4 linked regions of the Drosophila melanogaster genome follow. The protein of the gene in region 4 binds, or shares a complex with, the protein of the main gene of each other region. Each region holds a gene or a part of one and is shown on either strand. Other genes may lie near its edges. The genes, in order: Nup98-96, Nup205, Nup93-1 and PCID2.

Region 1 (9,243 bases), on a different chromosome or scaffold from region 4:
GGAACCAACCGTTTATGATGGCATCAGGAGCAATGTGTTGGAAGATGACATCGTGCGCCGTAGCAAAATGTTTTGCCTTTAGCAGATATTTGGCTTGAAGGTGATGCTTTCCTGACGCTCCCGCCTTTACCGCCTTCGCATAGTCCACCCACGACATCGGAATACCAAGCTCTTCGACGATAAAGCGCTCTTCCGCATATAGAGCCACCTTGGCGGAAACGCTGACATTCCTCTGTAGCATTTGCTGAACTGCACGTTCCCTCTGGGTCTGCTGCTTAATATGCAAAAGAACAAAGATACCCCACTGCCAGAGGCCTTCGTTCTCCAACTGGCTAGCGAAATCCACCGAAAGACGAGCCTCCGTTAAGGGCGAACAGTGACGGTAGCCAAGAGCTCGCAGAGTTTGCAAGAGCAGCCAGCTAAAATGATTTGATATGATTTATTTTGCACTGTACCAAAAAATTCTTTTAGCTCACCTCAAACGAAAGTCCATGGCATCGGCGGTATGCGTTATAGGATTGAGAGTTTCTTCCAGGGAATGCATACGTTTAGAGTGTAACTGGAGCAAGTGGTAGCGCAAATCGTAGACGGGCTTCTTGGTGTCAGTAGGTGCGTCCCTGTAGCTGGGCTTTGGGGGCTCCGCATAGCACTCTTCCGCTTGGAAGGCGTCGTTATAAGCATTGAGTGCATCGGTGATAGACGATGTTGGGGCTGTGAAATACCATAGCTGCAGGGCCAGTGCTGTCAGCCAGTTTTTATTCTCGAGTAAGTTGATGGCCCCATGTGAAGACTGCATCATTGGCGCTCCGGCGGCCAGCATGTACATCTTAAGGCGCTCCAGATCGATATACTTATCCGACTTGCTCTGCTGCCAGGCAAAGAGCTGCTCCTCCATTAATAGCCGGAAGACAGCTCCGGAACTTAATTGGGACAGCACAAGAGCCAGATTAGCATCATCGTAGCTGAAGGCCAGCTCACAAGCCTCATTTACGCGATGGCAGCTAAGTAAATCCAACATGTGCTCCAGGTAGCTGTGGGTGCTAACTTTTTTCGAGAGTAGATCTTTGCCCAGCAGCGTGTTCTCAAGCCACTCGGATAGCAGATTGCGCCGACACATGACCATGTAATGAGAGTTCTTTTCCAGGTCCACCAGTTCATCGTGATCGCCCCATAGTGCGAATAAAAGCGACCACACTGACACGCTATAGTCCTCTTTTAAGCCAGCATTTCTCTGCTTAAGAGACTCGGAGAAGTGCTTGGAAACTAGTTTCGTACCGCTATCGGGATGTATACACGGGCACTCACTACCCTCCACATTAACTGAGAGGCAGTCGTTAAGCTGAACTTCGAGATGGGGAATGATACTTTCTCGAAAACCCTCGTTGCCTTTGACCATGTTAAACTCCACCAACTGCATTACACTGGGCGACAAATCGGTGGCCGAGCGCGGCGCAAATACCATGGAGACGGGCAGGGATGGTCCAGTAACTGAAGCAAAGGGAAATTATTATAATTGGACTGCTACAGCTTGTTTCAGATATTCTTACATTCTTTTAGGTTTTGCATGTTATTATAGGTGCTTGGCAGTACCAATGAGTTTTGTGGACCAAAACTGAGCTTAAAGCTGCGTCCTTTGTAGAATCCCAAATCGGCGATCCAATTATCGCGCATCTCATAAGCGATGGACCTGGGTAGGGGAACCGTGGTGGCACGCAACTTAATCGGAGCCACTTTGGGCTTACAGACAAACTTGAAGGCTTTAGTGACAGGCATTTCAAACTTCGTTTCTTTTACAGCTGCAACAATGCTTCCAGTTGCCATCGACGATGTCTGAAATTGATCAGGATGTTTATTGGGCTTCAAAGTAAAAGGTTACGTCGATATACCTCCTCATAATGTGCATCACACATCAGGCTGGCCTCAGAGACGGAGGAAGAAATCGGCAGAGCGGGCGATGGGTGTTCAAAATCGTACTGACTGGAACTCTCGGAGGCACCATCTTTCCAAACAAGAGGTTCCACGTTGAAAAACTTGCGATGACGAAGAAGACGCCCCGTAGTCTCTGTAGAAATTTATGAGTAATTTTCAAATGTATAGTGGCCGTGTGGGATGATAAGCAGTGAATTGTTGTAATTATAATGAATTGTTGCCAAAGCAGGCAAAATGAATTGGATTTACTAACACATTTGAAAGCTTTATTAACTTTATAATTTGTGCTACCTTTTTAAACATAAATATATATATATAATACTTTTTGCAACGATCAAAAATCATTAAATATCGTTGATAATTAACAATACATATTTGCTCAAAACTAACGATTAACATTTAAACATCTACATATCTTTTACTGTAAGCAATTTGAAAGACCATCAAGAGATTATCCACCTACCCATGGGTTCGTCCTCGGGAGCATTGTCCTCCACAAAGAAGGATGACTTCATTAGCTGCATTTTGTGCGCCTCGTTGCCTACCATTTCCTGAGCCAAAACAGCTGTGGGACTGGTAATCGTTGGACGTTGACGCGGTGGATCAAACATGGAGAAATCGGAGTTGCCACCAGCTTGGAAAAATTCTGCGAATTAAAATTAAGTAAATTACAATTAATGAAACTAAACCTTTTAAAATGGACTTTAGACGTACGTGTTTTGTCCATTAAAAGGAACTCGGCGGTATCATCCATTGGCCTGAATCCGCTGGCAACACCTGCGACCAAGGCTTTTGGGTCCAAGTTACGGGCTGCATCTTCTGAAATCTTCTGCGCTTGGCGCAGCGAATTGAGCGTCATCTTTTCTGCGTTTGCCCGCTGCTGAGCCTCAAGCGTTGCAATTTTGGCTTTTTTCGGGTCAGTGGGCAACTCGTCCTCTTCGTCGCTGTCTCCCAGGCCATATTTAGAAAAGTGCTTGACGCGGAAGACCCAACTACCCGTTTCCGGGCGGTATTCTATAAAGCGCGTATCGTTTTTATCGCACACCCGGCGCAACTTGCCCTCCCAGTCCATCTCAAGCAAGCGTTGTGGGTCCTTGATGGCTTCGTGCTTGGTCTTGTCCAACGGCCATACTTGGTCCAAAGTGACCTGGGCGTCACGGTTTAGACCTTGACCAATGGGCGGCTTGTTTTCGTCGTCGGGATAAATGATAATCTCCTTGTTGCGAAAGTGGACTGTGATACAAATTGTTTTGCATTAAATAAATGTATGAGAGCAAACACAAACGGTTATAAAAAAACACAAGACTCTTACCAATCTCATCGAGGTTCAGGCCAGCCACATCCATTTCCTTGCCGAAGAAGACATTGCCGTATCCTTCCCGACCCACCGTAAAGTTCGGAACCACACAGGATCCGTCCTCGGCCAGATAGGAGCGTAGGTCGTCTAGCGATGGAATTGTATAGTAACCCACGCGTCGCAGCACAATGCCTGTTGGATGTGATTCGTCGTCTGCTGCCTCTGCAGCAGCTGCCTCAATGGCTAGGCGGGATTGGTTTGCTGCAGAGTCCTCTGCCTCATTAGATCTGTTCGAAAGCACACTCTCATTGGCCTGCTGCGAAGTGAAGGTTTCGCGACGTGCAATGGTGCTGGATTGATCCTCAAATGGATTCTCTGGGATGGTTGACACCGAGAGGCGAACGGTGGAGGATGGTCGGTATGTATCTAAAGGTTTACGTGGCACAAGCTCGTTGAGGGTGCTGTTATGGGGCGATCCCTGATCCATTCCAGTCTGAATGTTGTGCTGGCGTACCTTCTCAAGGTTGTTAGGATGCAGCCATGACTCACGGCGGCCGTTATCCTGACTTTCCCGTCCATTCGTTGCTCCAGGCGAGTTTCCAGCTGGTGGTAGCGGCTCACTTGGAATGGCTCCGCTAAACGACTCGCGTTCTTTGTTGGGAGTTGCGCCTTTGGGTCGAGATTGGGGCGTGTTGGGAGCACTGCCAATAGAGCTAGAGGGATTTCCACCCTCTACACTTTTTACTTTGGGTTTGATAACTAATCGTTTAGCACTGGGCTTCAGATTGAAGCCCTCTACAGAAGCATCAAACTCCTCGAGACCATCAAACAGCGATTTTCTATTAAGTGTGCTGCCCAGCGCCTTTACCTTCATTGGAGCAGGATTGTTGCTGGTACTTATCTTGTACTGGTTGCTGGTCAGGTCCAGAACTGCTTGTTGGGCAGCAGGATTTGTAGCTCTTGTTGCATCTGCTTCACTGCTTAGCTTTAGATCCTTGAAAATCGGAGAGTCTCCGTAGGGAGAAGTTACCCTAGCTAGGATCTGCTGATGAATGGGCTGGTGTGAAGGCGTCATGATACCCAGTGTGGGCTGAGCTCCCATAATACCACCAGTTAACGAGTTGTTTGTACCCATACCGAAGCCTCCTCCGCCCAAGGAACCACCGACACCTCCGAAACTGGTAGTTCCTCCTCCAAACAGTCCTCCCGTTGGGGCAGCACCCGTGCCACCCAAGGTTGTAGTACCTCCTCCAAAAAGACCTCCTCCCGGCTTGGCTGTATTTCCGAAAAGTGATCCGCCCGTGTTGCCTGCGTTGAAATTAAGTGGTGCTGCGCTGGTGGCTCCAAAACCTCCGAATCCGGACGTTGCTGGCTTGTTCAATCCCGAGTTAAAAAGGCCTCCTCCCGTTGCTGCTGTACTGGTGTTCAGGCCAAAATTTGAAAACGGAGTGCTAGCCGTGGAGGTTGCGCCGAAAGTTGGAGCAGCAAAGCTAGTGGCGGGCTTGTTTCCGAAAAGGCCTCCGCCGGCGGTGCTTGTTGCTGGAGCTCCAAATCCAAAACCTGTCGTGGCTGCTGATGCAGCCGTTCCCAACCCAAAGGCTGATTTATTTGGATCGGCGGCTGGTGTGGCACCAAAAAGAGTTGACTGTTGCGTTGCTCCGGCTGTGGTTCCAAAGCCTCCGAATCCTGTGTTAGTCTGTCCGAAAGCAGGAGCCGCACTGGTAGCAGGTGCCTGACCAAAGAGGCTTCCTCCCTGTCCAAAAGCAGGCTTCGCCCCAAATGGATTTGAAGCGTCAGCTGCGGGAGCGGCAAACGGAGTGGTGGTGGTGGCTCCAAAGGGCTTTTGCAGAAAGTTGTTTTGCTGGGTTGCTGCTCCGAATGCATTGTTAGTCGCCGGTTGTTGGCCAAAAGCGGTGGTGCCAAACATGCTCTTATTCTCGGTCACAGTTTGGCCAAACAGACCTGTGCTTGGTTGGGCAGTGCTTCCAAACAGGCCACCACTTGCAGGCTGAGCGGGCTGAGTAACCTGAGCTCCAAATCCAAAAGCTCCCGGAGCATTCCCAGCCTGTGGACCCTTGCGCCCGCACATATAGTCTTCCAGGCGGAGCTCCTCCAGAGATTTGCCCTCGAACTCCTTCATAGCCGTGATGCAGTGCTGCTTAGTGTTCACACTATTTGCCTGACCGCTCTTCATCAGGGTATCTGTACCAATGGTTGGCTGGTACTTGGCCACGGCCGTGCCCGTATTGACTCCGGAAGCTCCCACGGCCGTAGCCTGAGGTTGGGCAAAGGCGGAGGCGGTGCCACTGCCAAAAACATTGGTGGTTGTAGGCGCCGACGTCCCAAAGCCTCCGAATCCTGTTGTACTGGTGGCGGCAGCCGGTTGGCCAAACAAAGAGCCCGTGGGCTGAGCAGCAGCTGTTTGCCCAAAGGCCGTCATAGTCGGCTTGGCGGCTCCAAAGGCGGGTAGCGTCGATTGTCCAAAGAGGGAGGTGCTTGCCGCCGTCTGGGTGGATCCAAATATGTTCGAGGTCTGTTGCGGCTGCGAGAAGGCTGCAAAGAAGAAATTACTAAATTAGTAACATGATACCACTTCAAATGATCGTGTCTAACCTCCAAAAGCCGTGGGCTGAGCTGTGGCAGTGCTTCCAAATCCCGTGGACGTGTTTGCCCCGAATAAGCCTCCGGCGGGCTGAGCTGGTGTGGCTGCCGCACCGAACAGTGACTGCTGCGCGGGTTGGGCGGCAAAGGTGGAGGTGTTTCCAAAGGCCGGTGCGGCGGGTTTGCCAAATGCCGACTGGCCAAACGGAGTGGTTGTTGTGGTGCCGCTGAATCCGCCAAAGCTGGTGGCCGCCGGAGTGGCTCCGAAGCTGGGTTTCGCGCCGCCAAACATTTTGCTCGCTGCTGCTGCTCAGATAACAAACATATACTAGGTAGATCCCCTGCTTTGTCCTTCGCCGGAATGCCAACTATCGCGATGAGCAATGCTTCGATTTCACCACGTTGGGCAAGCTGGGGCGGCTGCGCCGGATGCGAAGGTTGTGGGACCGGACAGGCTTAGCTTAAAACAAATAAACACTCGCGAATTTGTCAAGTCAGCAGGAGTCGACCGAGTCTGACGCAAAAAGTGGACAGAAATGGCGCGCCGATTTTTTCACGATGTTGAAGAAAATGCAGCCAAAAGTGTGACCAAGGCGTGAAATCGCATGCAAAAATACACTGTAAAAAAGCAGGATACAACTGCCAGGCGCATAACTATTGACCATAACTTATTTATGGTCTTAATAAAATTTTTGCTTGGTGCCTCCGAAGCAAATTTACTATGAATGTGTGGAAAATGTATTTTATAACTTGGGTTTCTCGTATTTTGTAGGTAAGCTCGATTTTCACATTTTTATGTGACCGTACTGCGAACAAAGTGAAAACCCATTTGACATCAACGGTGTGAACACGCTGTAAGGGGCACTCTATATTTGATATTTTCGATTGGGAACAGTACGGTACTTCTGGGCATCGAGCACGCTCATTCACAACAAACAGTTGAAACGCGCGGGTTGTTTTCCGAGAGCGGTTATTTAATTAATTGGCAACTGTCACACACGAGTGTGTGTGCGATCGAGTGCGTGTACATGTGATAATTAGCTGAGCGGCAGCGGCCAACTCCCAGCCCAAATACAAGTCGAGAACAAAACGAGCGAAAAACGGCGCAAAATGCATTTGCGGAGCGACAATTTGTGCGGAATGCTAGCTTTTGTGCAATAATTATTTATTGGTTGCAATTGTCCAACCGGTGTGCTTTTCGTCGAAATCTGTAGCGAAATCGGAGGCGAAATGCTTGTGTTGGCGGCATTGTGAAAACGAAATCAAAATTTCAACTACGTGTTGCTCTTTTGCCGTTGCCTAATTTAATGTCTTGTTGTTTTTATTTTCGCAAACGAAAGTCCATCGCTTTGCATGTGTGAGTAGCGATCGTTTGTCGCCGTGTTGGTGGTAAAAGTCGGCGCAAAAACAACAATATCAGCAACAACACTAGTAGAAGCAACAACAACGAGAAGAAAAGCCTTCAAGATGAGTGTGTGGAGCGACTGCAATGCCAAGCAGGCAGAATTCGGCATTGGTAAGTTGGCAATGCGGCTATTAAGCCGATAAATTAGGTAGAATATGGCTAGGCAGGAATGTTTAAACAAAGTGCTTTGTAAACAACAATAAAGGAAAACTTTATGAACTGTTGGGCGCTCTTTTCCAGAGCACACCTCATCTCCACCCCCACCTCTCTCTCTAACTCTCTCTCTTATTTCACCGCATGTGTGTGCCTCCTGCTGCGTTGCTACGGTAAAACTTGTTGCACCTTCTCGCTTGCACACGCTCACTCGGCTGCTGTTGATCCTCCCTTTCCCGCTCTCACTGTGTTGTTTCGTTTTTCATTTCATTTCATCCTGCTCAGTCAACACTAGCATAAAATTCTGAGATTTGCTCTTGAAACTAAAACCTGTTTTCTATTGTCTCTCTCGCTTTTCATACTGTCTCTGTCTCTCACGTGCAACTGCAACACACTGCCAGAAAAAAGGCCTGGTACACATAAAGAAATTTTATACAATTAATGTAATTTTACATAAACTTAAATCTGAAGTACTACAACATTAGTACTACAACTTTTACGTATTTACGGGTGTGGGATTTGAAACCTGGTCTTTGTAAACCCAAGGCAAGCTGCATCAAGCTGACAGTAGAAATGTTTATTTTCTGTGTACACTGTGAGACAAATCCCAATTCAATGGCAGTGACCATGAAATATCTAATCGCGACCCGCTTCGAATGCGTGTGAATTTTTTATGGATCTCGTTTTGTTGACCTTTTCACCGCTGATCAATAGATACGACAGGTACATAAAGTACAGGTACCTCTAGTCCCAGGTAGATCGAGTGGAACTGGGAATCTCGTTCGTTAACACTCGAATGGAGCTTGCCGGTGTGTTTGCACTTGTTATTTACACACGTTTGCCTCTGCCTCTGCCCTTTTTTGTGTTTGCGCGTTTACTAGCTGTCGAAATCGCTGCGAGTACGAGTATCTGATAGTACCATTGGGGCGTGGCCAGGTGGACGGGGGTAGTGGGTGGTGAGCGGTGGTTGGTGGTATAATGTAATTAAGCGCGATAATATTTGGAATATGGGGCGGCAGATAAGTTAGTCGTTGGCATTGAGTAGCGAATTTGGCCTTTGTAATGCGAAAACGACTTACAGCATATACGAAATTCAAAAGAAACTCCTTATCAATAGCAGTTTGATGTATTCTTGTCTTATCGCTGTTTTCCATTCTGTTTGCATACCTTTTGTTTGCTTCAATTTTCAAATTCTAAGCAAACAGCCGGTTGCCCCACATTTTGTAAAAATTTTTTAAGCCAAAAGATTTGCTTGGCAGCTCATCCATTTTGCGTATTATTTTCGAAATATTGTAGTTTCTCGAAGGCAATAGCCATTGAGTAATCGCTTTATCACTTTATGGGCCCCATTCGAGTTATCGTTTATCGATGTGTGCCTGTGCTTGTGGGTGGCACTCAGCTGAATTGAATTCCGTTGAAGTGCGAGTGAGTGAGCGAGTTAAAGTTAAGTCCTCGGCCTCCTGCATAGCGGTAGTCACTCGCATATAAAAGATCTGGTGCATACATACATATTTTTCGTATGCTGTTCCCACTCACTCCTTTGGATGAGAATGCTGCATCTCCCTGCTCACTCACCTCCATGCACAGTGGGATGATTCCTGAAATTTACCTGAAATATATATAAAAGTAAACCAAGCGAATAGCCACAAAATGAAGGGATGTTTACTCATAAAAGCTAATTAACTTCCATCAAAAAGGCTTTTCAAATTTACAATTAACAAAACCATATATTTAGGTAACTAGTATAAACTAGCATAATTTGATCAGCTTAGTAATAATTGTTTTAATCCAAAACGTCCACTTAGTTATTCTAATTGCCCCACTGTGCCGCATATGCTTTTGAAAGTTTGCCTGCGGT
Region 2 (9,281 bases), on a different chromosome or scaffold from region 4:
GCTTGAGCTGCACGATCTCTTCCTGCGAGGCGTTCAGCACGGACATGTCATTGTCGTCGTCCATGTTGCTCTCGTTGATGGCGTTCCTGTTTTCGTTGGCGTAGTCGATGGTGTTGCGCAGATAGAAGTCCAGATGGATCCACAGCAGATACAGATTCTGCTCGGCAATGAAGACGGCCTGCCTCAGTTCGCTGCGCTTCTCGTTGTATCGCTGGCTCAGTTCTATGTAGCTTTGTTTACCTGGTTGATTGGTACAAATGGATCAGCCAAATGTGGAATGCATCAATGCTAAATGCTAAATGCCAAAATCAAGGAGAACTTACCGTTGGGCCCAAAGCTGATGTTGGGCAGGGAGGCGCGTTGCTGGAGGAGATTGTCGGCGATCGACTTCTGCGAAAGGTAGTAGCCGATGGAGCCCTTCAGCTGATTGAGGATGGTGTGCATGATGGTCGTCAGCTTTTTGCTGGACATTTTGCCAGTGCTTCAAGGAGAATTAAATCGATGCTATTAATAATCGATGGCTATACAATTAAATATAATGGGCGATGGACTTACAGCAGCGTTACATCATTGATCACGGTGGTCAGCAAGTATTTGGAGGTCATGCTGTCCTTCGAATGGCTGGTGACCACGTTGCGGCAGTAGAGCGACACGTTGGCTGCTATATCCAGAAAATACTTGACACGTAGCCTCTTCGAGTCATCGGTGGGGTTGGTCTGCTGCTCCTCATCCTGCTGCAGCATGCGACGAATGGTGGGCTCGCTTACGCAAAAGCGTCCGAACACCACGATCATCAGCTGCTGCACGCGGCCCAGGCGATTTCGCAAATCCAGCTGCACGCTATCCTCCAGCGCGGTCAACTCGTGCGTGGAGGCGCGGGCAAACAGATTGCTAATGACCGCCACCTGCTGCAGGTGGCCGAGGTCCATATACGGCGTGGCCGAGCGCAACATGGCCTCGACCATGTCGATGTGGGCGAACAGAAAGTTAAGCACCTGCACGGCGGCGGAGTTGTTGCGCGGACCCAGCGAGTTGACAATGGCATCGCAGAGGCTCAGCGCCGGCAGGAGGATCGACCGGAAGCGGTCATCGATGGACGGGAGGAAGGTCTGCGGCTCGTTACGATTCAGTTCGCTGGACTTCAGGTCGGGCTGCTGGTCATAGACCTTCATATTCGAAAGCACGCCCAGCGCCTGCTCGGTGAGGAGGAGCCGGGCTCCCACATTGCTGTTCGCCATGCGCGTGAGGAAGGCCATGCGCGACTCGTAGACGTAGAGCGGCCTCAGGTGATCCGGCACGGGCTGCAGAATCCCGCAAAGCGCCGTACTGGACTGATCAAGGCTTTCCAGTATGTGCTTGAGGTAGCCACGCGATGCCACAAAGTCGCATAGCGTGCTCACCGCCTGCAGCTCGGAGATCATGTCCAGGCAGGCCAGCGCCAGCATGCGGCACACATCGTGGCCGGTCACCGCATCGTGGCAGATGGTGTCGATCAGCTTCTCGCCGAACGTGCCAATCACTTCCGCCGCCATGGCCTTCAGCCGCAGGCGATCGTCGCGCCGCTGCTCCTTGTTGTACGTGCGTGCACTCTCCTGGCGCGAAATCAATCTGCAATGAAATAGAATGAAAGCTACAACTGCCTGCTACTGCTGTTGAGAAGGATACACTTACGTCTCCTGGTACTCCAGATGCTCGTCGGTGCGCAGTCGCTTCGCGATCCGCAGGCAATTCAGCAGCGAACTGTACAGATTGATGCGCAGCTTCTGCGACTTCACCTCACTGATCATGATCCACTGGACGAGGTTCTTGAGAATGAATCGCAGATTGCTGCTGTTGCCACCGGAACCGATATCCCGTCCACCTCCACTGCCGCCATCCGAACCAGTTCCGATTGCCCTCTGGCCCAGACACAATGCGTTCACCTGCGAATCGTTGCCGATGGCGTTGCCATTGCCATTGCTGAGCGAATCCTCGGCGGCCAGATCCTCGGGGCTCTGGTCCTCGGCCTGGTAGCAGCAGTAGCGCAAATTGGCAAGCAGCAGCAGCACCGTCTCGCTCACCTGTACGGATATCTCGATGATGGGCTGTATGGGCTGCACCTTGATGAGTACCTTCTCGACGATATCGATGATGTGCTGGCGACGCTGCGTCGCCGGAAGCACGGCATCGGGCATGTTGCTAAAGAGCACCTGCACCAGTTGACCCCATGCTGCCATGAAGGCCAGCGTGGCGCAGCGCTGTGTCCGCACGCGATTTATGTTGACGGCGTGATTGAGCAGCAGCATGATTTCCGTGGAAATGGCCTTCCGCTGGCCGCTGGCAATGATGCTCTGCACCATGTACAGCTCGTCGGTGAGAATGTAGTACAGTTTGCGCACGTTGATCAAGTTGGCCCTGGAATTGGCGCCAGCTTCGGCGGATGCCTCGCAGTCGCGCAGCAGTTGAGTGATCAGATGCCCGTCGAAGAACTCCAGCTGCGGCTGGCTCAACGTGCCCGCCTCCAGGACGAGAATATCTAGCAGTCGGGTGACATGCAGTCCCTGCGATGTCTCCTGCAGCAGCGATGGCTTAAGTGATTTGACCCCAGTGTTTGGAGCTCCGAGAGACGCCGAACCAGCCCCATGTGCCACGGCACTTATCGATCCACCGGCCGGTAGCACATCCATGGCGAGGAAAGACGACGACGGCTGTGAAATCAGGCTGTGGCCCAATTCCATCGACAGGCCATGGGATGAACGCTCCATTCCGTTTCCAATTAGCAAAATGTCGCACATCTGGTTGAAGCGCGTCATCTGGCCATGTTTGGCCGCCAGTTTGACATCGATAGAGACGCAGTTGAGCAGGTGGCCCATGGCGTGCAGCACATGATCCTCGCGATGCTGCCGGAAGGGCAGCGAGCGTAGGTGACGCAGCAGGAAGTCGCTGCACGTTAGCCGGAAGTAGCGCAGTATCGTCTCCGCGGTGCGGCGATTGGCGCAGAGTCCATGGAACAGATGGTAAATGCGCTCCACGATTCTCGCCGTGTGCTCGCAGTACTTATCGCTGTGACGCTGTTTCTGCAATATCAGAGATTGATTTGATTGTTAAAAGTTGGTAAGTTAGTTAGTTAGTTAGTTAGTTAGAATAGATAGTAATGGCCAATGGCTTTCAACTCACATCCATGTACTTTTCCAGCAACAGCACTACGGAGTTCACGCACGAGCTTTGCATCTCGATGGCCAGGTGCTGCCGTCCGTTGGCCATAAATTCGCGCAGCACATCCACGCCGAGCAGGAAGTACACAAAGTTGGGCAACTGCTGGCTAAGATTCATCTCGAACAGCTTGATAATGGCCTCTTTCAGTTGCAGCTCAATGCTAGCCGGTTTGCTCTCCAGCGCGCCATCCCCCGCCTGCAGCTCCAGTTGCGATTCAATAGTTGAATATTCGCGTTCCCCGCTCATCTCTCGCTCATTGTCCAGATCATCGCCGAATCCCAGATACGGAACGTGATTGTTGAGGGCCAGTTGGTCCAACAAATCGTCGTCGTGCTTGCCCACGCACACCTCCATTTCCAGGCACTCGACGAAACCCTGACGAATCTCGAGCTTCTCATTGCTGCCCTGACCGTACATGCTGAGAATCTGGGTGGAGACATTCGGCAGCTGGGTGACCGAAGCCAGAATCTTAATGGCGGCCAGGGCGTGCCGCGGCAGCCAGCTATTATAGGTTACATACTTAATGATATTCAGCACGTGATCGGGCTTGCGACTGCGTGGATTCAGATCCAGGAGCATGCGATTCAGGCCCGACAGCAAAATGGGGCAATTGGCCGCCGAGTGGGCCTCAAAGAAGGCGTTCTGTTTCGCCAATGCGGCTTCCAGGATCAGCAGTGCGTACAATGAGCACTCCTCGAGTAGCTTCTTGCCCTGAAAGCGATTGTAGTTGTCCAGCCGCTCACGCACCTCCTCCACAATGCACAGCAGCAGCTGCAACATTTCGGACTTCAGCTGCAGCTGCATCATAACGTGAAAGCCCGGATAGGGAGGTTCATCGACTGTCTCCAGAAAATCCATTGCGGACGGCCGATAGGTGGCCAGTAGGTAGTAGAGCAGTTTCAGGCACTGGGCGCCAACTTGCCACTTCTCGGAGGGAACCTTGTACGCGCGATTGTAAAACTTGAGCAACACCGAATTTATCATGGACTTTAGATAGCCTTCGTAGGCCGGTGTCCGTTGCCCGGCGCCCAAACTCTTCGGCAGATTGGTGGTCATCAGTGTGTAGAGCAATTGGAGGATGCCGCGCGTCAGGTTATACTGCTCCGAACGGCTCTCGATTTGTTCCATCTCCTCCAACAAACTGCACTGGGCATAGCTTCTAGACACGGGCACAGTGGGTATAATCTGCGAGGCCTCCAGGTGGAACCAGATGACGCGCGCCGTCTCCTTCGATTTGGCCAGGGCAGCCAGCGTGTGCAGAATCTCCGCCTTCAAAAAAAGCGGCGTGGCGCACGCAACCAGGCCCAGGAGCACCTGCGGCGTCTGCCAATTGGGATGGTCACAGATCATGATGCGCGAGACCTCGTCGTGTTCCGCCACCGCCTGTATGATGCCCATTACGGCCACCAGATGCTCCGCCTCTCGCTGCGTAATGGCCTTTGGTGTCGATCGGGTGCGGTAAATGGTCTCGCCGCTCATGCCGATGTTGGTGTTAAAGTCGTTGCGCATCGAACTAGAAGATAGTGATCTTCAGAGAGATCTTCAATACCAGATTTGAGTCACACTTACGTATAGTAGTTGCCCAGGGTGGTGAAGAAGTGATCCCAGCTAACCGCATACTTGCCGCCGGTGGCCATCTGGGGCACCCTAAGCATGTTGAAGGCGCATCGAGCCGAGAAATCGGTCCGTGTAAGTCCGGATATCATCTTGAGGTAGGCCTTGAACAGCGTCTGTGGCAGCAGGTCGCTGGCCAAGCTAATGAACTTGAACAGCGACACCGAGCGCGAGGTGTTCTTGAATGCCGTAGAGCCGTTGGGATCGCCGGGGCCCCAGTACTCGTTGCACAGCCTGATGGTGACGCGCGGATCGCCGTGCATCTTGGCCACGCACAGCATGAGCAGCTCAAAGTTGGAGTCCAAGTTGGGCGGCGGTTCCAGACCCTCGTTTAGGAAGCTGATGATCGTGTGTGACGACTCGTCTGCTCGGCCGCGCAGCTCCGACACCTTGGAGTTCATGAAGTCGATGAAGTCCGTGATGAGCAGATGGACGCGGCGGTAGAAGAACTGCGTGCTGTCAGCACAAATGATGATTAGCTTGCGAATCGGCAATTGACACTTCAGTTGTCAGTACTCACCTATAGACCAGATCCTTCTCGAGCAGCAAGCTGTGGAAGAAGACGAATACCTGCGCTCCCAGTGCCTCGTCGATGAGCATCTCATCGCGATTGATGATCGAGATGGCGGTGGCCTGAAGCTGCAAAGGTGCATGCCGCAGGCTGGCCAGCGTTAGTCCGAAGCTGTAGGCAATGATGGCATTCAGGCGCGGTGCTTGCCAGCTGCTCTGCGCGTACAGCTCCTCCAGGAAGCACTCGGCGAACTCGCGATCGCTGAAGATCGGAAGTCGGGTTGTGTGCTCATTGGGTTCCTCGGTGACCAGCAGCATGGAGGTATCGTACGCATACAGCAGAGCCATCAGCATGATCAGGGTCACGTCGTCCATGTTGCCGCCCGCGTCGTGGTTCTTTCGGTTGGCCAATTGGTGCATCAGCCGAATGGCAATGTGTCGCGGCAGGCCGCGTTGTGCCGACCAATTGAACAGGGCCATTGCCAATGCCTGTTGAATGTCCTCGTATAGGCCGAGCACCTGGTTCTGATGCTTCTTGGAGCCAAACGCGCGGTTTGTGGTCAGCATAGCGCACTGCGAACGTTGGACAACAAATGAATAACAATTTGCGAAGGAAGATATGCAATTTCAGAGAATTTCAGAAACAGGCGCATACAAACCCACCTCCTTGTCGACATCCATCTCCTCGAGCAGCTGCAGCAGGCGTCCCAGTATCCCAGAGCCGTCGACAAGGCTCTCGGCATAGTTAGTGACCAGACCGGTGATCTGCGTGCGTAGAACGATAATCAGGGTCAGTGAATCTCTCTTTCAGCGGCACTGCGATGCCTGCGATGTCGAAATCTCGAAACTTACCTCCTTGGGCAGTTCGGTGTTCCACGAGACGCCGCTAACCACCTGGAACATGTCGCGAAGCGTGCAGCTGATGGCCTTTCGTCCATCGTAGTAGAGCAGCACCGCGACAAGGCCTCTGGACAGGCCGGGATGATGCTTCTGCTGGCGCTGTGCGGTGCACAGCAGCTCCACGGCGAAACCCTCGTCCAGATCGAACATGTCGGACAGAATGACCGCCTCGTCGGCCAGGTCCTGTGACATCTTTGTCTTTCGCGAATGCCCCTGCATCGGGACGCCTTCGTTGAGGGCATTTCGTAGGAGATTGCGGCTCTTCTCGCTTCTCGGCTGCCGACATTTTCAATAATGGATTATCAATAATTAGTTAAATCTACGGATCTGCAAGCGCTTGTTTTGCTATACCCACCGGATTGCGCAGCAAGTTGCTGAAGTTGTGCTTGTACTTCTTGAGGCACTGCTCCAGATCCGAGGTGAAGCCACTGCGATTGGACACCGCGGTCTGAAAAGTGTTGTACAAATGCTTGTACGGCGTCCACATGTCCTCGATTACAGCTGTGGACGCATGGGTGGCATTAGTGATTTGGCGACCCACGCACATCTGCTCGTTGGCCAGGCACTCACCATCCATTTCACTTGGTTTTGCGGTTCGCTCAGTTCACGCAGTTCTTGCTGATTCGCAGTTATTGACTATAAAACGCGGCAAGATTGCTTCGCTTTGCGACAAGGCGCCGGTTACCAGGGCTGGGTGCTGCAAATACTGGAAAACACAGATGTTCACCACCGTACGAACTCACCACGCTCGTACGCGCTTCGGTGCTTGTGCCCGCTAACTGCGGTTGCTGCGCTGGCTAAACGGTTGATTCGAACCAAGTCAATCGGAAAATCGATGCTTATCGAACGATAATCGAGGCGCTGCATCGGTGCGTTGTCGCACCACTAACTAACACAACTTCAGTGCGGCGCGGGCGGGGCGTTTTCGTGAAAATCTACGCACGGACTTTTCGTAGTTACCCGATAGTAGCATCCATTTGTTTTGTTCCGATTCGCGTTTTTTTTTTTTTCTGTTCTCCGCCACTTGATTTGGCCAGCGAACGCACTGCCCAAGTGGTGTCCTGTTCGCATTGTGAGTGAATCACCGATGGCCGCGGGCAGGCTGAACTGCACCATAGTGGGATGCTGGTTCTGGCTGTCGATGCAAGTGGATGTGGAAGTGGATGTAGAAGTGTAAATGCAAATGCAATCGGCGCAGTTCGGCTGCAATAAATGCCAAAAGGGATACTAACTGCCAAAGCCAGTGCAATTGGAAGGAAAATTCAAATTTCATTGGGAATTATTCGAATTGGAATTGAATTTGTAACTGGAGTTGGAGTTCAGAGTACTTGGTACTGGGTGTGCGAGAGCGACAGAGAGGAAGAGAGGCAGTGCAAGTGTGTGGGGGTAGCAGTCACACAGGCACACACGAACATACTCACAACTCCAGTGCATAAAACTCCAAACTGCGTTCGCCTCTCTCTTTTCGTTTCGCTTGCTCTCTCCCCTACGTTCGCCCACGCAACGCCTGGCGAGCGAGAGAGAGAGCGGTATAGAAGAGCAAGGGAGCCAGAGCGAGAGAGCAAGGAAGTGGTTTTTCCACCGAAAATATGGACAAAGGCAAACTGCAGAGTTAGCTGAAAATAAAAAAAAATAAAAAAAAGGAACAAGACACAAACAGTGACTGAAATAGCGGTTAACAGCGCTCCCTTACGGCGAATCGTTGAAATTCAAGACGGAGAGCTATCGCATTTCTTCAATTATGTCTGTTTCGCTTTTCATTCCGCTGCAGTAAGCGATCGCGCGAAGGAGCAGCAATACAGAGAGCGAGATTTGGAGAGAGAGAGAGAGAGATAGAGAGTGCGCTCCCAATTGACGACTCCACTCCACTCCCACACACACTTAACCCCGCCCCCTCGCACCCGTAATTACTATGGATTGTGGTGGTATTGCGGCACATCAGCAACAACAACTACAACAGCAACAACTGCACTTACTCCAGCAACAGCTACAACAACAACACCACCAGCAGCAGCGGCAACAACAACAGCACAGCCTCGAGGAAGCAGCAACAATAACAAATGTAAGTATCTCCCAAGTTTCTCCAAATGTGTGTGTGCGTTTGTGTTGCTCGACCATTTCCTCTGTACTTCATAATTCGCTCCCACACACAAAAAAAAAAGAAGTCATAGGACAGAGTACACAGGAAGAAACTGAACTATACCTTTAAAGTACAGCTTCTTCAAATTATAGTAAGAACGGTGCAAATGGTAGACTCACATATGGTTGGTAATTGTATTAACTATAATTCTCTATTAGTGTTTTTTTTTTCGAGTGTATTCAGTATACTTTACTCCTTGGCTATGAAAATAACCTAGTTATGCAGTGCTAGGTGATCAAAAGACTTCAAATTCGGTACTCCAAAGTTGAGACTGCCCAACTAGTATCATGGATATAGTTTCCTATAGTTTGATAATATAGAAACTTAAAACTTTACCACTCCCCCCATTCGATGGGTCAAAGGAGAATTAATAAAAGCAAACGCAGAGAGCGGAATGATTAATCTTTGGACCAGCTGCTGGGGCAAAAACGACCACAAAAAGTGCTCAATGCTTTCAAGTCCAACAGAATGCCGACCCATTAATTGGTGTACTAACTTTTTCGCTCTCTCTTGCGCCTCTTTCTCCGTTCTTGCCCCATTACTTTCACCGTGCATAAACGCTGAAAAGAGTTCCCGATCGTTGTGGTTCTGTTTTTCGTTTTTCGCCTCTGAGGTTCTCGATTTGTTTATGCGCGGGCGGCGGAAGAAAACCCGATTCCACACGAAAAAAGTCAAAGGCGATGTGCGATACCATGCGGCAACAGCAACAAACGCGATGTTGTTGCTGCCCCTTTGTTTTGCCGCAACAGCGGGCGTCGCCCCGCTCCCCTAAGCCACTTCACTTCCCAGCAGTTTGTGGCACAACCCCAACCAGGAAGGTCGATTAGTTTCTGGATCAGAATGGTAACAAACAGTTAAAACAAAGGCTCCATTTGGACGAGATAATAATCAGATCCAACAAAAACATTTTGTTTATAAGTGA
Region 3 (6,680 bases), on a different chromosome or scaffold from region 4:
TGAATAGAATATAGCTACTAATTTCAGCCATTACATATCGTATTGCTGTTTAATTTGGAAACAAAACTGGTTACGAAACCCTATTCGAAGTACACGATTGCTCATGTCAGTTGTTTAGCGTCGAGTGGGGTTTTTTTTTTCTTTTTCTTTCGGGAATCGAATGGTATAACACATGGTATATTGTACTGTTTGGGTTTAGGCAATGCAAAGGTGAGGGAAATTACTCATGGGCAGACGACTCGAGGTGCGGTCTCCATTTGCGTGGGCTGGATGAGTGGCCAAGTTGAGTCGAGTCGAGTTTGCCAATAGAATCAACAACAGCAGGGCTCCAAAGTGTTCCGAAAACAATTACAATTACTTCGGCAAACAGTGGGAACCAACAAAAGAAACAAAATTAAGTGGACTCATGCTCGACTTACAATTCCGGGGAAAGAAATAGATTGCGGCCTCTACTATAATACAAAAAAAAAAACCAAAGGGTTCGTAATCTTTCTTTGACTCATTTTGCAATAATATCACCTTTAAGAAAGATGCCAATGAACAATTGTTTTATCACATGTTTTTTTTTCCACTATCGAAGAACAGAACTGATAAGAAAAGCGTTGTATTCGAGGAGAAAAAATCGAACAAGTTTTTATTATCGATTATTTGTAATACATAAAGAAATAAAACACTACATATTGAGCAATCTAAAGTTAAGTTCTATGATTTAAATTCATTTAATTAATCACACTTTAGGAATCTTGGCTTCTCAATGCTATTATCTTGACCGCAAATGTGCGGAGTGCTAGCTTTTTGTTTTCTTCGATTCTTTGGAGGAGCATGACGTATGTGTCAAGAAATTTAGAAATCACTAAAAGATAAAAAAGAACCTCTAATTCACACACACACACACAGAGAGAAACATGCTGATGGTTGCGAAGGGGGGCGATGCGGGGGGCTTAGGAGAACTATGATGAAGGAGCATTTGTTGAGCAATTGGCGCAATGAAATGTGATTAAATTTTTTAGCAGATAAGAACCGAAGTAATATGTTACGTTCCACAAATTTCAGACTGTGCGCACACAGCAATATCATGATTAATTGTTAATTATAAAATATTAAAAAGATATTTCATATGAACAGCTTGGTATGCTCGGATAATTTGGAAAAAGGGCGGCTTTAGAGTATTGCACCAAAAAGGTATGCTGTAATATTTAATTTGGATGCTTTATAATGGTAATCATGGAGTTCTGAAAATCATAACTCAATCAACAATTTCGTTCTGTGCAGATGTGCCCGAATGCATGTGTATGCGATAGTGTGCGTGCGTGTGTGTGTATGTGTGTGTGTATGTGTGTGTGAATGTGCGATAGGGAGAAAAGGAGAAAACCGGTTTTGGCGATGCTTAGGAACCGCAAGGCGAAAGGGGAACGTCGGCGAGAGGGGAGGGGGCGGTGTGTGCTAAACGTATTCTGTTCGTTTTAACCAAATGTGACACACTGCAAAGTGCCACAGTGAGAAGAAGAAGAAGAAGACAACGAAGAACGAACAGGGGTAAGAAGCCGAAAAGAGGGAGGAGGAGGAGAAACAAACGGCAGTTCGCGTTTTCCCAGTCGCTTCTTGTTTTTGCCTTTGTTTGCATTTGCTTCTGCTTTTGCCCCGGCTGCATTTTCACTCTGCACGGAAATTTGCGCAGAGCGAAATGGAAAACTGCAGGGGTATGCAAATGTCGCTGTTCGCTCACCTTTATGATCAATTCTATCTCGGGCACATCGAATTTACTGCTGCCGTTCGTCTCCTGGCTCTGCTGCGATTCAACTTCCGACATTGCGATATTGTTATTATTTTTATCGTTTATTCTCGATATCTCTGATCAGATCGAAGAGTTTTTTTCTTTATCCGCGTGACGAGGTGCGTGCGTGTTCGTTTCCTTTTCGCTTTTGTTGTGCTAATTTCCTTTGCCAATACACACACTCACGTACACAAGCTGTAACACACACAGGCAGCACACTCACACACACACAGAGAGACGGAGGGAAGAAGAAGCTCGCCTCGCAGTGTTTAAAAAAAATATGCCGTTCTGTTCTACGATTTGCGCGCTGCTAAAGTCTATTCACGATTGAATTGGTTAGCCGCTGAATAAACCAATCTGCACTGCGCGAAATACACTAACGCCTGCTGTTCAGTGTTACCAGACGGTCCTGCCTTTCGGCCGGCCTATAAATACCAAGCTAATACCAAATGTTTTTAAAGTTGTACTTACAACTCCCTCTCAATAACAGTTGTTATTGGGACATTTCAATAACAGATTGCGTAATACCAAAAATACCTTATACCTACAAAACTCCCATTTGTTCTCAATTTATTCCCCAATATATCGATATTCCATAAAAATTTTGAAATTTCGCGTTCGGGGAAATCGACTATTTTCTTTGTTTTTATAACAACTTTTAGGTATTGAGAAATAATTTCTTAGTCTGCTATCTATATAAATTTTTCAATTTAATGATTTTAATTATCAAATATTCCTTTTAAATTATATACCATCTGTAGACATTATTATAGTTATTCTAACATATAACAGTTGTACTATTAAATATACCAAAAAGAATACCACCGATTGCAAACATTTTATGGCGCCGAAATAATCCGGACTGCGACCAGGTGGCAGCACTAGCAGCTTGGTGTGCGCTTCGTTGGAAATATCATTTTATTGGCACCGGCTTTTCCATCCCAATATCACGACATGGATCTGATGGAACTGCTGAAGCAGGCCCAGCGCCTGACGAACGAGACCAATACGGACACGGAGGTGCCGGGCGTGGAACGGACCATGTCCCAGGTTCTGCAGGCAACCAAGGAGTTTCACTCGCGTGTCACCCAAATGGGCACCAATGATCTGCAGGCGTGAGTAGTTCGCTATAGGCCAGGCGCCAAAAATTGTCATATTAACCGGTCATTCAAATGCAGCCACATACTGCTCGGCTCTAAGGGCGTGGACCTGCCCAAGCTTACACAGAAGCTGGAGTCGCTCAGCGCCCGCCAAACCTTCGAGCCGATTGATCCGGTGACGGAGACCAATGTGCAGGCCTATCTGAAGAACGAGCGGGAGAACGCCATACTCTCAGTTATCGATGAGACGAATCGCAGTGTGAGTGCGCCAAATGACATGCTTCAGGCAGACACCCAAAATTCTGAACTTTCTATCTCCATTAACCAATCCATTGCAGATATTTAAATCTGTGGAGCGACAGAAGTGGCGTTGCATCTACTCGGAGTGGGGCGAGGAGAAGGAAGCGCTGCTAAACGCTCTGGTCGGACCAAACCAACAGGACTTCCCCGACGTCCAGTTTCAGATAGTGCCCACGGCCATGGCTGATGAGCCCACTCCGTACTCCCAACTGAATGGCCATGAGCAGATGTACGCTGAACAGATCGCCATCCACAACCAGTCGATCATCCTGGGCAGACGCCCTAACTTGCTGTCGACCCTTGCCCACGTGGTCCAAGACTCCTTCAACGATGAGTCCGTAGCCGAGATGTGGAATGTATTGCAGTTTATGACCGCGTTGCCGCCAGTCTCGAGCACCATCGATCCAATCAAGAATCGTCAGACATCACCGCAATTCGTTGAGCAGGCCCGCACGTACTTGGAGCGCAGATATAGGACGTATATGAGAAAGTTTATCGTCGCGAATTTGGCCAAAGCGCGGCGGGGAGGAATCCCCAGCGTGTACCATATGGTCCGCTCCTATGTGGGCGTTACTCTCCAGGGGCAGCGAGCCCTCTACGGGCTGCATGACGTGAACAATGGCCAGCCATTGTGGCCACATGTTTACTATAGCTTGCGGAGTGGCGATATGGACGCGGCTGCGTTGTATCTCAAGGAATCGGGAACCTGCCCCGACCTGCTTACGCTATTGACGTTGCGAAAGAACGGCGATAGGGACAACTTGATGGTAAAGCTTGAGGGTCAGCTAAAGTTGGAGTACAACAGTAGACTGCGCGCCTGTACGGATCCCTACAAAAAGGCGGTGAGTGCTCATCTTTTGCTACAACTTGTTGCGTATATTCGTGCTAATCATATGTTTTTCTCTTTTCCATTAGGTATACGTCGTATTGTTGGCGTGTGATCCGCACTTCACTCACGTAGAACTAATGCGCAGCATCGACGACTTCCTGTGGATGCAACTGTCCATTCTGCGCAGGTCGGACCAAAGCGACAGCAACACGGAGCAGCTAACGTTCAGCGGCCTGCAATCGCTCATTTTAGAAAAGTACGGCGAGAACTACTTCAATGCGCGCGAGAAGGCGGCGCTATACTTCCAGGTGCTGACGCTTACCGGCCAATTTGAGGCCGCCATTGAATTCCTCGCCCGCACCGAGAAAAATCGAACGCACGCTATCCACATGGCCATTGCCCTAAACGAGATATCCATGCTGGGAACACCACGTTCCGTGGAACAATCCCTTCTGAGCTCCGACCCTGACGACCCAAAACCAATGAAACGACTCAATCTTGTGCGTCTGATCGTCATGTACACCAAGTGCTTTGAGAGAACGGACACCACGCAGGCGCTGCATTACTATTACCTGTTGCGCAACTTTAAATCCGAGAACGGACGCGGCAACGTGATGCTCACCTGCGTCTGCGATCTGCTAGTTGAGAAATGCGACGACGAAATGCTAGAGCTGATTTTCGGGACGGAGGATAAGAAAAACGGCTTGCGCTATGGGTATGTTACGTTTTTGGTACTCTTAAAAGATTTCAAAATCCTTTTGGCAAATAGCTAATGGTTTATTCATTCCCCTTTATTTAGCGGCATATATGCGGAATTTCAAATTCATGAATGCGATAAGTACTCTCTGGCCGAAATGGTGGGCGATGAGTTGTCGAAACGCGGCGACTACGAATTGGCCATCGAGCTCTACTTTATTGGTGGCCAGCTGGACAAGGCACTGCGTTTGGTGAACTCGCTACTGGCACAGGTGGTCCACCAACCAACGCAGAATGGAAGCGTGCGTAACCGGCTGGGCGATATTATCAATCGACTAGATGCGGCGCTGGTCGTGCGTAAATCGGACGTAGAGGTTCAAGTTGTTGTCACATATACGGTGCTGACAAAGGTCATGAAGTTCTTTGACCACTATCACGAAGGCGCATTGCGTTCGGCATTAGAAATCCTGACCAACAATCATCTGATACCCGCCAGCTCATTGGAAGTGGACGAGTGTGTGACGAACATAAAGCGGATGGGTCCCGAGGTCATTAAAGTGCTGCCCGATATCCTGCTGGCGTCCATGGACATTGTATACCAGGAGTATGTGAAGCTAATGGACTCGAATGAAACAGCTTCCGGTTTCTTTGATGAAAGCAAGTGCGTCAATAAGGAGCCCGCCGTGAAACATTTGCGAGACAGGGCCAAGGCATTCACCAACATGGCTGCCAGCGTTCCATACCGAATGCCATCGACCACCAACCAGCGGCTCGTCCAGCTGGAGATCCTTATGCACTAACATTAGCCAGATTAATACCTAGTTATCGTTTATATGCATTTCATTCAGTTCGTTTAAAATTTTATTGATGATTATATTTTTTTCTTTCCAATAATTTTATTGGAATTTTTCTGTTAAGCGCAACGCATTTAAAGCATTAAGCATTCGAAAAATTTAAAAGAAAATATTTTGTATGTATGTGTTATAAGAAAACTAAACAAAATTCAAAATGTCACACGTATATGTTAATTACTCACGGTTTAGGCAAACAATTAAAATTTTGCATTTTCGCTACTTAATAACCGAATGTATGGTATGTATCACAACAAGCCACTAACCCACTGGAATATCCACAAAAGACTTTCAGATAAGAAGTATTAAGTATTTTATTGCATAATTTGAGACACCGTTTGCTATTGCATTGAAACCTCAAGAGGTCTCAGGAACACCCCAGGACATACATATGAAGAACACATCAATATACTTGTATCAAAATAGTATTGCCAACAATGGCTGCCAACTGTCGGAGATTTTAGGAATCCATTACATAGTTTCTAACAGATCCGTTTCGAGATCCTAGTACACTGCCATAAAAATGAAGAAAAAAAAAAGCCATTAGCTTGGCCCTCGTTTCGTATAAATGCATTTGTTTTCACTTCTGTCTATTTAAGATAATATTGTTAATTGGAATAAGTTGATTGCGATAGTTTGTTCTGGTTTTGTGCGCCACTCAGTCGAAGGTCGGAAGGTCGGTCTGCGCCGCGCCGCCTCTCCCAGCCACACTCCGTTCCGCTTATCCCATATACTGGTACGAAGCGCAGACGGGCTCCTGATGACGAGCGTGTGGCGAGGATTGCAGCGCCAGACGTTGCAGGTGGCAACCGCGGCAGAGCAGGCGCCCGTCCAGCGGGTAACAGCGTTTGTCCGGCTCATCGGTCAGCTGCATGCCGCACTCCTCGCAGATGTAGCAGTCCACGTGGAAGTCCTTGTCCATCGAGACGACGCGCACAGTTTCGTCGGTGCCCTCGACGGGTGTGATGCCTGCCGAGAATTGCCGACGATTGCGAGATTAGCATTGACGTATTATTCGGAATGAAGTTGTGAACCCACCTTTGCCGCAGCTAGCGCACTTGGGCGCAAACATTCGATGGTAGTCGTTGACGCAGTAGATCTTGTGGTCCACGTCCACGGTGAAGGGCACC
Region 4 (5,080 bases):
ATCACGCGCCGACTGGATGCCCGGCTCGTCCTCGGGCCCACCGATGTCCAGCGTCTTCAGGTCAAACCACGACGGCATGCGGAAGCCGGCGTTCAGCGAAACGGGCTGTGTGGGCGCCGTGGGGCAGATGACTTTCATGAAAGGTGGGCGGATGGCGGCTAGGGCACTGCTCCAGCCATGACTGTTGGAAAAGGCATTCATTAACGAGATAAGAAGGATTTTGCATAACTCTTTCACTCAAAAAAACTTCTATTTACTTAGGTAAGTTTTGTTTGCAGTTTTCTAATAATTTAAAAGGAAGAACGAATTTAAAATGGTATGGGATATACATAATGAGCTTAACTGGGGAATACTCTGAAGGCTTCTCATCAGTTACTTGAATCTAGAACACCCTAAGCGCTTATAAATTGTTTTTTTTTCCCATAGGAACTGAAGCGTTAAAATCCTTTTAATTTCATATGTGCAAATATTTCTGTTTCGCATACTTCAATATTTTGTGAATGAAGTCTTTGGGAGCATTATTTTGAATGAGGATGACCCCACTTACCCCGTATCACCCAGGCCGTGCATGAAGATCAGCTGCAATACACAAGTGATTAGTCGAGGGCTTCCGGAATTTGGACTACGGCGGACTACTCACCGTGGCGGTTTGCTTGACCGTGGCCTCGACAATGACCGGCGCAGCCATGTCTGCTGTTCAGTTTAGCCTCTACTGGGGACGCACTATTCCTATTCCAGGTACTCTGCGATTCGGCGACTTGGCGCTGCTTTCGTCGCTTTTTTCGGTGTCAGCGGATTTCTGCAATGCAGTGAAAAAGAAACACTTTGTAGTTTGCGTTTTAGTTATGTCACGTTGTAAACGCAAAGCAAAATTAGTAATATTGATTTTACGATTGCGAAAATGACAACACGTCGCCGGCTGAGAAATGGTTACTAGCTAACTAGATCTAATCTTCGCCACTTGTCTTATGTACACTTTGCGCGAATGAGGCTCTAATCATTTACCAGGTAATACCACAAGTATTGTGTTAATTTGTTTAAATTCGCTCAACTACGACAATTCATGCAGCTGCGTTCCAAAAAGTTCAGAGATGAGTGATAGTCGGTGGACCTAGAGATGTGACCGAAACCGATTCCGCTGTCGATACATCGGTTCGAGCACAAAAATCGATATATATCAATTCCAAAGTTCGATTAAGTTTAAAAAGTGGTATTAGTTTAAAACCGTTGAAAAATAAACATATTTATAACCAAAAATTATATTATTAGTTCATAAGTTGATTTGAAACATATAGGTTTCGAAAAACCAAACAAAATTATAACCAAATAGAATTGAAGGTACTTTAAATTCAAAGTCTTCAGGTCTTATACTCATCGTTGGTGCCCTCCATTCACATGCCCCATCCAGTAAACTAATACACTGATTAAATTGGATTCTTTTACTCTTAAAAATTCACAATAATTACAAAATGCACTAAAGGGACACTGAGGGGAATGGATTTTGCTTCGACACGACCAGTTTGTTGTGAGCATGTGAGATGTACCCCTTAATCTTTCCATCGTAAATGAGATTGGCCACGATGCAGTGCGTCTCGTCCAGAGAAACATCGGTTAAGCCAACGAAATGCAAGGCGGAGAGGAAGTCACCCATGTCCAACTGATGCGATTTCCGGATGACGAACACCTTCTTGAACAGGTTGCGATACACGAGGAACTTGAGCTTCTCCACCAGCAGATAGATACCACTCCTGATCAGCACCAGCTCCTGGTCCCTGACAATCTCATCAAAGCGATTCACATTGCCAGCCTTCATGGCCATAGCCAGATCGAGAAACAGCAGGAGATCGTAGCGCTGCAGTAAGGATTTGCTGGGCAGATATCCCAGCAGCATCTTCACTGGCACCAAATAGATGAGGATGAGCCTCTTGTTGCTGGCAAACCGATCCGGGCAGTTGCTAAAGGCATACGACAGATACTGTACGGCTGCCTGGTAGTTGGAGTCGAACATAGCCCGTCTACCTACAAAATACTTGTAGGTAATTTGCTCCGGCAGCGGAAAAGAATCCTTGAAGATGCAATTATCGATGGCACGGATAAGGGGCTTGCACAGATGCAACTTGTTGATTCGAAAATAAATCTTGAATAGCTGGTTTACGAGGTTCATCATGCCCAGACGCTTGGTGTCCTCCTCTGAAGCTCGTCCATCAGCGGCACAAACGCGGAAACAGGCCATTATGCAGTCGGCAGCCTTCTCCAATACGTGGCCAGGTGTGAATCCTTGACAATGCTTCTCGCAGGCCTGCGCCAAGTACCTTAGATCCAGGCACACGCGGTACATTAGTGGCAGGCACCAATTCTCGTCCTTCAGCTGCTGCAAAAGCCTCACAACGGCTCCGCAGGCTGCCGACTGTTGGGTGTAGGCTTCCATGTAACCAGGAGGCTCCTGTGCCAGGTGATACAGCACCTTCAGGTGGGCGGACACAACTTCGTCCAGTGGCGGTTTCAGGAATCGATCCACCAACTTTTCCGGCTGGGCAATGTACAAATTGTGGTTCTGAACGTGCACGTCTCGTAAGGAGAGATACGTGGCCAAGGACTCGCCATCTAAATCCTGGGCGGCGTGCAAAACGCCGGATAAATAGTTATTTACGGTGCCGAACATTGTTTGTGTTTTTCGCAGGCGGCAAAATTAGAGATGGTAGGTCAGGCACTATCTGCGAATGCGATGTTTTCATCGGAAACTTCTATCGATTGTCTTTGTTTTTTATAACGCGATAATACAAAGAATATTTTTTCAAAAGTTTTTTTTTTAACATTTTATTTTATTTTATTAAAAAAAGGTATTTATTTACATTATACTCGGTTTATAAAATAAAACTCTGAACGCAGAAAAAGAGTTTTTTGTTTTAAATTTTAAAATTTCCCTCTGCAGCGAATCGATTATATTCCGCGAAGGTCTTTTGCTTGCCCAAAAGATTCTAAATTTAAACAATTTTCGTACATATAGTTGTGATAGCAGAGCTGTCACAAGACATGCTGTTTCTAGCCAGTTTAATAGGCCTTTGAGTATAGTTCACTTAGTAAATTACAAATTAAAGCTTTCCAAAAACGAAGCCAGTGCAACAACATATTTCACAAGGAGCAAAAGGATTCAAACATGTCGACACCGAATTTTCTCTTGAGCAATGGTAAAAATATGCCTATGTTGGGTCTCGGAACTTGGCGGGTAAGTACTTTTACATAGATATATATTGTTATTAAATAATAGCCAGCTGAAATGTGCATTTCCACTGCATATTTCACGGTCAATGTCAAAGCTCTTCGGGGTCAAGCAAAAGCTTTTGATGCACCTCAGCTTTTTACGTTTTATTCGCCATTTTAGAGCCCGCCGGAAGTGGTGACCCAAGCAGTAAAGGATGCTATTGATATAGGCTATCGCCATTTTGACTGCGCTCATATCTATGGCAATGAGGCGCAAGTGGGAGCTGCTCTCCGGGAGAAAATGGACGAGGGAGTGGTCACACGGTAAGTGCTGCTTTCAGGCCTAATCAATCGTTTATCTAAGCCATAAATACATATTGCACTGCAGAGATGAACTCTTCATCACGAGCAAACTTTGGAACACACACCACAAGCCGGATTTGGTGCGCCCGGCATGTGAGACAAGCATAAGGAACTTGGGAGTCAAGTACCTAAACCTCTACCTGATGCACTGGCCCATGGCCTACAAGTCGGGCAGTGACAACCTATATCCCACGTGTCCGGACACCAATAAGGCCGCATTCGAGGACATCGACTATGTGGACACGTGGCGTGCAATGGAGAATCTGGTGGACGAGGGTCTGTGCCAGGCCATCGGTGTGTCTAACTTCAATGAGCAGCAGATGAATAGACTTCTCAGTGTGGCCAAGCTTAAACCGGTAGTTCTTCAAATCGAGTGCCACCCGTACCTTAGTCAGAAGCCATTGATTACGCTGTGCTATGACAATGCCATTGCTGTGACCGCCTACAGCTGCCTGGGATCGGGACATACGCCCTACGAGAAGCCCGGCGCTTATCCACTGCTCCAGCATCCGACCATCTTGGCTATAGCTGAGAAATACGAAAGGACTGCGGCACAGGTGCTCCTACGCTTTCAGACACAATCGGGTATAATTGTCATCCCAAGATCAGTAAGCAAACAGCACATGTTGGACAACTTTAAGCGAATCTGGGACTTTGAGTTGGCCGTCGATGACATACAGGCCATTAACGAATTGGACTGCAATGGGCGTTTTATGACCATGAAGGCGTAGGTGTTGCTCTTTTCATTTCCTAGGTTTTAACTTGAAATATCTCGAATCTTTCTATTTTTCTCCTAGGGCCTATGGACATCCTCATCATCCATTTGAACCCAAAGCCAAAGTAGATAATTAATATTAATTAATATTAGAAGTACAAGTAGTTATTTAAACTGATTGCCTTTAATGTGATAAGTAAGATTGTATGCGGCGATCTGCAGAGTTATACTGATGATGTCCAGGTACTTCCTTTATACTGAGAAGTCTAGCATAATTATTGTTATACAATATAATAATATAATATAATTAAACTGTTTTGCTGTGTGTAAAATCGAATTGTAGCCTTTGAGTTGGTGGGCATTTTAAGCTGTATTTAAAATGTGGCTGTTTATTTTTATATACACATTTATTTTGCTATTTTTCATTTAGGCTTCAATACTAAAACCAAGTAGCCATTGCATTCCATCCGTCAAGAAGTCTCTACACAAATAATTAAAATTTACTGGCGTGCAAAATGAACACTCTAATGAAAATTCAATTGGTTAGGCCTGTTTTTCGCATTACGTTGAGGAATTATGGGAAACCAGAGCGATTTATGTGGTAATATATAGGAAAATCAAATCGAACAAAGCATCAAAAGTATAATTTCCACAAATATTGTAGGTGTCAGAAGGAGTATGCTAGAGCTCCCAAGGTGGTTTGCTTGGACGGAAATGAGATTCCAGTAATTGGGCTCGGAACTTTCAATGTAAATATTATGACAATGTCTGTTTTTTCATATCTATGCCATAGTTTTGATA

Evidence for each region.
Region 1: PCID2 (region 4) and Nup98-96 share a complex: the UniProt entries of both Drosophila melanogaster proteins name them as parts of the nuclear pore complex.
Region 2: PCID2 (region 4) and Nup205 share a complex: the UniProt entries of both Drosophila melanogaster proteins name them as parts of the nuclear pore complex.
Region 3: PCID2 (region 4) and Nup93-1 share a complex: the UniProt entries of both Drosophila melanogaster proteins name them as parts of the nuclear pore complex.

The regions. Positions count from the first base shown.
Region 1 is NT_033777.3:23,775,046-23,784,288, forward strand, and holds the start of Nup98-96 (nucleoporin 98-96kD), read right to left. Parts: upstream 6,577-9,243; 5' UTR 6,120-6,576; coding exon 5,840-6,119; intron 5,780-5,839; coding exon 3,242-5,779; intron 3,163-3,241; coding exon 2,644-3,162; intron 2,576-2,643; coding exon 2,393-2,575; coding exon of another isoform or gene 2,373-2,392; exon of another isoform or gene 2,171-2,372; intron 2,063-2,170; coding exon 1,887-2,062; intron 1,831-1,886; coding exon 1,548-1,830; intron 1,489-1,547; coding exon 477-1,488; intron 420-476; coding exon 10-419; intron 1-9. Other genes in the region: mbc (myoblast city), read left to right, coding at 7,295-7,343. UniProt on the Drosophila melanogaster protein: Part of the nuclear pore complex (NPC). Required for MAD import as part of the Nup107-160 complex and required for nuclear export of Moe probably via its association with Rae1. Plays a role in nuclear mRNA export.
Region 2 is NC_004354.4:19,849,863-19,859,143, reverse strand, and holds the start of Nup205 (nucleoporin 205kD), read right to left. Parts: upstream 6,931-9,281; 5' UTR 6,797-6,930; coding exon 6,575-6,796; intron 6,496-6,574; coding exon 6,172-6,495; intron 6,085-6,171; coding exon 5,983-6,084; intron 5,893-5,982; coding exon 5,330-5,892; intron 5,266-5,329; coding exon 4,765-5,265; intron 4,709-4,764; coding exon 3,157-4,708; intron 3,057-3,156; coding exon 1,672-3,056; intron 1,609-1,671; coding exon 556-1,608; intron 482-555; coding exon 324-481; intron 241-323; coding exon 1-240. Other genes in the region: pico, read left to right, coding at 8,132-8,281. UniProt on the Drosophila melanogaster protein: Plays a role in the nuclear pore complex (NPC) assembly and maintenance, but with limited role in NPC permeability. Required for specific nuclear import pathways such as Mad import.
Region 3 is NC_004354.4:13,820,199-13,826,878, forward strand, and holds Nup93-1 (nucleoporin 93kD-1), read left to right. Parts: upstream 1-2,627; 5' UTR 2,628-2,728; coding exon 2,729-2,889; intron 2,890-2,952; coding exon 2,953-3,133; intron 3,134-3,212; coding exon 3,213-4,016; intron 4,017-4,089; coding exon 4,090-4,718; intron 4,719-4,802; coding exon 4,803-5,499; 3' UTR 5,500-5,712; downstream 5,713-6,680. Other genes in the region: Clic (chloride intracellular channel), read right to left, coding at 1,727-1,810; jub (ajuba LIM protein), read right to left, coding at 6,272-6,519, 6,589-6,680. UniProt on the Drosophila melanogaster protein: Required for nuclear pore complex assembly, maintenance and function. Required for nuclear import of phosphorylated Mad via importin msk. Has no role in classical nuclear localization signal (cNLS)-dependent nuclear import via importin-beta.
Region 4 is NT_037436.4:11,624,062-11,629,141, reverse strand, and holds PCID2 (PCI domain-containing protein 2), read right to left. Parts: upstream 2,702-5,080; 5' UTR 2,663-2,701; coding exon 1,475-2,662; 3' UTR 1,427-1,474; downstream 1-1,426. Other genes in the region: Apt1 (Acyl-protein thioesterase 1), read right to left, coding at 1-181, 548-579, 641-688; CG6083 (uncharacterized protein), read left to right, coding at 3,158-3,226, 3,383-3,525, 3,590-4,291, 4,362-4,416; Akr1B (Aldo-keto reductase 1B), read left to right, coding at 4,795-4,880, 4,944-5,028. UniProt on the Drosophila melanogaster protein: Required for the export of nuclear mRNAs and involved in mRNA trafficking in the cytoplasm.